2 linked regions of the Caenorhabditis elegans genome follow. The protein of the gene in region 1 purifies or fractionates together with the protein of each later gene. This does not show direct contact. Each region holds a gene or a part of one and is shown in the gene's direction. Other genes may lie near its edges. The genes, in order: pfd-5 and pqn-15.

Region 1 (3,354 bases):
TAATCACTAGAAAGTTTTCGTTAAAAACTCAAGCTTGAAATGAATTTTTAAAATTTCAGAAATGCATCTCAACTTTTGTGTAAATTTTAGTTGAAGTTTACTTCAAACAAGATACACTATCAGTTCGCATTACACAGGTCTGAGGTCGTAACAGAAAGTGAACATTCTAAGATCCAAATTAAAACATAATTCTCACATATTTTTGTTGACGTTGCATATTGATCATCTTGAGAAACATAACAATTATTTCTACAAAACAATCAGTCAGCTGAGAACAATAGGGATCAGAACATCTGTCACTTTAGGTCAGGAAAAACTGAAACTTCTGATAAAACTACAGTAACTTCTGATACTAAAGATTAATTGATAACTGTATCAATAAAACAATGACACCTTTGGAGGCCATATTCAATCTTTTAGGCCACTTTTTGTTAGCAGAAGAGACCGAAAGTTCTCAACATAATGGTCATTGATACCGTAATCCAACCTCACTGATCAGATCATTCGTCACTTTTCAAAATAAGTGTAGCAACCTGTTCCAGACGGAAAAACAAAAAATTGGTATTGTTATCATAATATAGACATATTAATAAGAGGTGTGATGACTGAATACAATAGTAAACAGGGATTGCTTTTTGTGAAAAGTTAAAAAAACGAACGTGAGGGATTTAATTTCATGAAACTACAGTTGGAAAAGTTGTGACGTCACACATGAGAGTGCAATTTTGGTAAGGACAAGTACAAGAGCAATTACCTAGTAAGGGTTTGCAAAGTTCAGATCTGGACGGAGTTCTAGCGAATACAAAAGATCAGAGAATGAATTTTAAAAGAAACAAATAAATATAAATCAAAGTCTTCTTTTTGAAGCAACTTCCGGTCTATCAAATCCTATCTTGATTACGGTAACTTATAGATCAAATTCAAAAAGTACAAGAAGTACGGTCAGATTCAAAGATCATTTTTGAAACAAGGAAATGTTTCTAAAGACTTTCACGTGGATTCATGTATACATATTTACAGTTTTATATGTCAAATATCACATGAAAATCTCTGTACTTTTCTTAAAAACAATAGGCGGAGCTTATAACCTTTAGAGATGTGATCAACGTCATTTCTATCTTTATCTAATTGATTGATAAGTCTCTAAAAATAGAGAATTTGATATGAGAACTGGTGTTAGAAAATCTTTAAAGAATAGAAAGAAGATGACTTTTGAAAGTCTCTTTCACGTTATCATTTTGAGACATAATTGGAAAAATTAGAGAGATTAGAGAAAAGGAAATTGAATGATAAGGAGATGAAAGTGATATCTTTGAAGGTTCAAAACAACTTTTCCACTTCGAGAAGATTCGTCTATAAAAAGGAAACAATTTTATGAAGGGATCTTTGTGAGTTTATAGAATTCTAGGGGTTGTAGTAGCTTTACCTTTCCAAAAAATGTTGTATTTCAGTTATGCCTTTTTCAAATGAAACAGATCCGCCAAGAAGTTCCAAACTGCAAATGATGTTTGATTTTCGAACTAATAGTTCAAAGTATCCCAGTCTAATTTATTATACACCGGAATTTTTTTATGATTCAACAAATAAAAAAGTGAAGGCGAAATCGGGGAATACCCTCAAGAAGATACACAACATTGCAGGGAAACAAAGGAGAAAAGTCTGGTGTTGGAGCTAAATGTCTTCAAATAAAAGTTACAAAATCGGTATTAATTGGTTGGAATCTCCATAAAATATTATTCAATTAATTTTTCTAAAAAAAAAACACCTTCAATATATTTTGATGAATAGAGCAAAAATCTACTTTTCGTCCTTCCTTAAAATATTATTTTTGAATTACCGCCAACAGTGGCCGTGGCCGCGCACATTTGAATTTTCTAGGCCAATGGTTCAATTCGAGAAAATTTCACCGATTTTTAATGCTTATTTTTTCATTATCCTTTTATCCATTTTTAGATCATAATTTCAATAAAGATTGTTATAAATATTCTTCTTTAATAATTATAAATAATTTTAGAATGGCAGAAGAACCGAAAGGAGTACCGCTGTCAGAGCTCAGCTTGCAACAACTCGGAGAACTCCAGAAGAATTGCGAACAAGAATTAAACTTCTTCCAGGAGTCTTTCAATGCTCTTAAAGTTTGTTGAATTTCGTATTTGTTTTTCAAATTAATAAAAATATTTGCAGGGTCTTTTAACGCGGAACGAAAAAAGTATTTCTGCTTTGGACGATGTGAAAATTGCAACTGCAGGACATACAGCTCTCATTCCACTTTCTGAATCGGTATATTTTCATTGTACTTTTTTAATAATTAATGATTATTCAGCTCTACATCCGTGCTGAACTATCTGATCCATCAAAGCATTTGGTGGAGATCGGAACTGGATACTTCGTGGAGCTGGACCGCGAGAAAGCCAAAGCAATTTTTGACCGTAAAAAGGAACATATTACAAAGCAGGTACGAACATCGAAAGTGTCTTACTTGAGTATTTAATCTTATTTATATCAGGTTGAGACAGTTGAGGGAATTCTGAAAGAGAAGCGAAGAACTCGGGCCTATATTTCGGACGCATTCCAGACCAAGGTTCAGTCTCAACTCGCCACGATGAATACACAATAAATGTCTGCCGAGAAATCTACTTCTGAAAATCTCTTGCTTTTCCGATATTCAAATTGTTGTTATCAATTTTCGATTTTAATACTACACCTTGCATTGATTCTTGTTCAAAATAATATGTTTCTTGCTTCTTTTTTGTATTCTAGCTAGTGGTTCGCGTTCAAACGCCTTGAGTACTTACAGTTCGAAAAAATAATTACTTTAAAATCTAACTTCAGAAGTAATGAGAGTTCAACCGGTGACAAACTGCGAGAAGGCTGTGATATTAGAGGCGCTGAAAATTGGAAAAGTAAACTGGTTTCATTGGATTTATTTTTAATTTTTTTTTCAGAGATTTGATTTTCGTAGTCTGGAAGAATTTCGGGATGTGAAGTTAGTGGTCGGAGCAGAAGTTGGAACTGCAATTTGCACTATTGGAAATACAAAGTTCGTTAGTTTTTCCTTATTATTTATAGTCATAAATTTTGAATTTTCAGAGTAATGGCTGCAGTAAGTGCCGAAATCGCTGAACCATCGTCAATGAGACCACACAAAGGAGTTATTAATATTGACGTTGATTTGAGTCCAATGGCTAATTATGGTTAGATTCCTATTTTTGATTAACAATTATCCTTTTTTTAGCCAATGAGCATGACCGTCTCGGGAGCAAAGGAATGGAACTGATTCGTCTATTGGAGCTTATTATTCGTGATTCTCGGTGTATTGATGTTGAGGTGAATTGAGCTGTAGAGAACTTAAAT
Region 2 (5,110 bases), on another chromosome or scaffold:
GTTTTTTTTCTCTGGCTTTAAAGACATTTTGTGTTAATTTATTTTGTTTTTGCAGTGTTATTTCTTTTTCTGTTTAGTTTTTCTTTATGTATTCCTCGAAAAAATTTCAGAGCCTGAATTTCGACGAATCCGATCACCAAGATGTTCTAATTGCCGGACTTGGTGGTGGAGTGATGAGCAACTTCTTTTCTCAAATATCCTACCTCAATGTTGGTAGATTTTCGGTTTTACATATAACTTTTTACTACATACTTCAGATTGATACAACTGTTGTTGAAAAAGAAGAGTTTATAATCAACATCGCGGAGAATTATTTCGATCACTTTGAAACGGACGAGATGAGAATTATAAACACCGATTTTGTGGATTACTTACGAAAATGTAATCGGAAAACTTAAAGAATTTATTTGAAAGTAAAAAATGTAATTTCAGATGACAAAAAATATGACGTTATTATTGTCGATGCCTGTGAAAACAAAAAGACAAATGTGATGTGCCCAGTCTCAGAGACGCTGAAAATAAAAACAGTTCAACTTTTGAAAAAACGTTTAACCTTAAATGGTTTGTAAGCAGTATTTTGAAATTTTAAAGCCAAGCTTTTTTTTCAGGAATTCTTGCAGTGAACGTGTTTGTGACTCAAGATAATATTAAATCAGAAAAAGAAATCTTTGAACTATTTTCCAACGAGTTTAACTCTTGTTTCTATTTGGAATACTTTAAAAACAAAAATGTAAGCACATGGCATTACAAGCAAAGGCAAATAAAACATACACACTATGTGTTAACATTCCTTTGTTGGCAAGGCGTATGACATTTGTCATAAATCATCCACTCACACTTTCAACACTTTTTTATATTTAGCCAAGAAATAGGAAAAAAAATAGCGAAAAACATTGAAAACAAATTCATTTCCCTTGAGTCACTCATCTTCTCACTGGACCCTATTGATTTTTGCAGGTCCTGCTCTGTTCCAAAAGAGACAATTGGACGTGGAAAAAACAGAAGACAGAGTTTAGCAAAAATGTTGAAATAGTTGATGATATGTTCGAATTCAAGTTGTCCCGTTTTCTTCATTGATTTTTTATCAATTTTTCCAACTTCTGTTTTTTGTTGCTACTTTTCATGGTATAAACACTAATAAACCTGACGAATCCCGTTTTCTCACTGTGTAATTTGACGTGATGGTGTTTGCGTACGTGGGGGCCTTAGGGTGGGAGGCCACCCAGCCCGTCAGTCAATCAACTTGTCTAGTGCAAGTTGAACTGCGCGCGTCTCCCTCTTAATTCCGCATTGTCTTTCTTCTTGCAGCATTTAATCGATTTTTCATTAATTATTAAATAATTGCAGTTAAACGAGGACTTGCTCCGCGTTTCACACGTGTGGGTGGCCGTCGGCAATCGTGTTCTTCGTGTGAGGCTACAATTTACCGGACGTAATCTTGACGTCCTTCGCTTCAATTTTCGGGTAAGTATTTTTATTTTCTCATAATTTGCAACTTTTCAAAACTTGAAAAAAAAAAACAAATAAAAAATTATTTCTTAATATCTTACAAGATATCGGTTTAGTGAAGAGAAAGGGCATTTGCGCGGCAATTAGGTTTTCGGCGACCTCGCACGCACACAATTCTATTGATCGCTCAAAAACAGTTGAGGAGGTAAGGTGAGAGACAGTTCTAGTGAATGCGCTTGTAGTAGCCATATTCCAAAAATCAAAAAACAAAAAACAAAAAGTTTTTTTTTGCTCATATTAATTTTTATAGTAGTTTGACGGAAATATGAGATTTGAGAGCAATTTTAATCATAGCAAACCATTTTTTAAGAAAACAATACATACGATAAATTCTACAAAATTTTTAAAAAAAATTCTGGTTTTTGTCTATTACACCGTACCATCTGTGTACCGTACCATCTGTCGAATTAACTTCTCCCTTTACAACTTTAGAAAACCAAATTTTTTCCAGGTTGTCATGCTCAACCAGCAGCACAATCAAGCTGCTCCACAATTACTCAATGTGCAGCGACCACACCAAATTCAGCCGCCTGGTCCACATCGGGTCATACAGCAAGGTGGACCACCCATGCAACAAAATAAAATTCCACAAGGACAATCACAAATGGTGAACATGCAGGGACAACAAGGCCCTCAACAAATGCAACAGCAACCTGCACAGAATCTTATGATGAACATGGGCCAGCAAATGCGTCCTCCACAAAATCAAGCTCCCCAAATGATGCAAAATCCTCAGCAATCACAAATTCAGATGAGGGGGAACCCTCCGCAGCAGATGCGTGGTATGCCCCAACAAGGCCCGCCAATGCAACAGTCACAGCAGCCACCACCTCAGATGTCACAAATGAGAATGCAGCAGCAGCAGCCACAGCAACCGAATATGAATTCTCCTCAGTCACAACATCAGAGAGCTCCGAACAATATGAATATGCAGCAAAATCTTCCGAATCCGCAGCAACAAATGAGGATACCACAGGCACAAAATCAAATGCAGCAGAGAATACCGCAGGTGTCTCCACAGCAAATGCAGGTCAGTATTTGTTTTAAAAAAAACAGTCTGAAAAAATTATACTCTATTATACAGAGTCACAAATTAGCACAAAAATATAAAAATTTATAGGACGCTTAAAAAAAAAATTACCAAACTTTCAGCTTGAAAGTACGAGAAAAATGGCATGTACGCTTGTAGATCAGAGTCAAAATGAAATTAATGAGAAATTGATTCGAAACATTTATTTTCTTAATTTTTAGATGCAACAGCAACAAAACATGAACGGACCACCATCTCATCCTCATCAGGTTTGCGAAACTTTCAATTAAAAGCTTACAATGCTTGAACAGTTTCAGATGCAACAAGGTGGACCACAGAGTATCAACAGACCGCCGTCTCAACCTCATCAGGTCAGTGAAAATTGTCAAAAAACAAATGAGACTTGAGATAAATTGTATTTAATAAATGTAACATAAAATAAATTAAAAAACAACCAGTTACATGAAAGTTACGATACGCAAAAGTTTGTTCAAAAATTTCTTAACTTAGTTATGAAGTTCCTATTTTTTTCAAAAATTTGCGGTCAATTCCCGGATTGGTACGTGTGCTTTAAGACACCATTATTGAAAAAAATTGTTCTCAATGGAGAGTTATAATATACCATAAGCCAACTTAATTTTTTTCAGATGCAACAAGGTGGTGGACCGATGAGCATGAACCGACCACCTTCGCAACAGGTGAGCTTTTAATTAATTATGTGCCCTAAATTCATAAATTTTAGATGCACCAACAAGGCGGACCTCAGCTGATGAATAGGCCTTCTTCACAAATGGGCGTATGTTATTTTGTTTTCTTCAAATTAAATCTAATTTCGCATTCAAAAATTTAAGTGCAAAAAATTTCAGGTGCAGCCGCAGGGCGGGATGATGAGCCGACCTCCATCACAGCCTCATTATGTAATACTCTTTAAATGGATCTTCAAAACTAACTTTAACCCATTTTGCAGATACAACAAGGCCCATCGAGTATGAACACGCCGCCGCAGCAGCAAATGAGAATGCAACAAATTCAACAAAACAATCAAAATATGAACAACGGATCACCTCATCAGCAGCAGCCTCTTCAGCATCAGCAAATGCAGCAAAATGCTCCGAACATGAACATGCCACCACAACAGCAAATTCGGATTCAACAGCAAGAACCACAGGTAATTGAAAAAAAAAACTATTGGAGACGGCAATTTTGTCACAAATACATAGAAATTGATTGAAAAATACAATTATAATAGCAATAAACATACAGTATGTTGTAATTAGCGATTTTTGAAAAAAAAAACGTAGCCCTTCAAAAAACACACAACAAAAAACGCAAAAGGGAAGTCGTACATATGAATTGACAACCCCTTTTGCTCACCTTTCAAAATAGTTTCGAATTGTTACTATAAATGTTTTTTTCCAAAAGTTCAAGTAAAACGAAAGTTGTTGAAGAAGTAGAAACTCAAGATATTTTTCTCCATATCATCACCAAGTCCAGAAAATAAACTGGGAGACCAGAAAAACTGAATATTTATGAGCTCACCATAGTTATATGCACACTATTTCCTGCCACTCTCGCGGAAATTCTCTTCTTCATAAAACGCTATTTTACGCATGACCATGACATACTCATTTCAGATGCTGCAAGGACAAACGAATGGACCACCACCGCCGCACCAACAGCAGCAACAGCAGCCAGTCCGTGTCGCCCAGGTAACCAAATTGATGCTCAAATAGTACTTAACTGTTGAAAATAGTTATTCCAGGTTGCACAACAGCCGCAGAACATGCAGATACCTCCACGCCAAATGACGCCGCAACAATCCCAATCGATTCATGGATCCATGCAGAACTCGCCGCAGAATCCACAAATGAGAATGAATCTTGCACCACCACAGCAGCAGCAGCAGCATCATCAAAATCAGCCACCTATGCAGGGTAACCCGCAGTCTGATAGACAAATGCCTCAAATGCAGCAACCGGGAAGGCAAATTCACCCGAACATAAAGCGGCAGCCACAACATCAAATGCAGCAAAACAGATCCATGCAACAAGGGCCTCACAATCCTCAGAATATTCCTGATCAAATGATGAATATGCAACAAATGCAACAAGATCCAATGTCCCAACAGCCGCTGCAAGAATCACCTCAGCCAAATTTACATCTGCAGCACCATCAGACTCCGCCAATGCAAAGCCAGATGATGCAGCCGGTGGTTACAGATAATTTTGAGCCGGACAATGATCAAACCATTAGAATCAATGGAGAGCACGCGATTATTAATGGAATGCAGTACAAACTTGTTCCTCAGCAGAGACAACAAAACCAGCAAAAAATGCCAAACCAACAAGGGCAACCAATGCAACAAGTTCATCAGGGAGGTCATCAAGAGGAAGGTTTTCAACAACAGCATGGACCACCGAACAACCAGGGGCAAAATCAGCAGCCACCAATGCAAAATCAGCAAAACATTCCGATCCAACATCAGCAGCAGCAGCAAAATATGATGAATCAACCAATGCAATCGAACAACAATCAAAATATGGCCAACATTCAAAATCAGCAGAATCTGCA

Evidence for each region.
Region 2: the proteins of pfd-5 (region 1) and pqn-15 fractionate together in Caenorhabditis elegans (co-fractionation; one large-scale study listed by BioGRID). This does not show direct contact.

The regions. Positions count from the first base shown.
Region 1 is NC_003281.10:7,197,545-7,200,898, reverse strand, and holds pfd-5 (putative prefoldin subunit 5), read left to right. Parts: upstream 1-2,014; 5' UTR 2,015-2,015; coding exon 2,016-2,135; intron 2,136-2,184; coding exon 2,185-2,280; intron 2,281-2,323; coding exon 2,324-2,455; intron 2,456-2,506; coding exon 2,507-2,617; 3' UTR 2,618-2,748; downstream 2,749-3,354. Other genes in the region: exos-9 (Exosome complex component RRP45), read left to right, coding at 2,838-2,903, 2,946-3,040, 3,091-3,194, 3,236-3,327. UniProt on the Caenorhabditis elegans protein: Binds specifically to cytosolic chaperonin (c-CPN) and transfers target proteins to it. Binds to nascent polypeptide chain and promotes folding in an environment in which there are many competing pathways for nonnative proteins.
Region 2 is NC_003284.9:4,303,818-4,308,927, reverse strand, and holds the start of pqn-15 (Prion-like-(Q/N-rich)-domain-bearing protein), read left to right. Parts: upstream 1-1,966; coding exon 1,967-2,539; intron 2,540-2,760; coding exon 2,761-2,808; intron 2,809-2,856; coding exon 2,857-2,910; intron 2,911-3,186; coding exon 3,187-3,237; intron 3,238-3,281; coding exon 3,282-3,335; intron 3,336-3,405; coding exon 3,406-3,456; intron 3,457-3,506; coding exon 3,507-3,707; intron 3,708-4,173; coding exon 4,174-4,248; intron 4,249-4,301; coding exon 4,302-5,110. Other genes in the region: C52B9.8 (Methyltransferase-like protein 13), read left to right, coding at 111-209, 258-381, 433-561, 609-730, 958-1,077.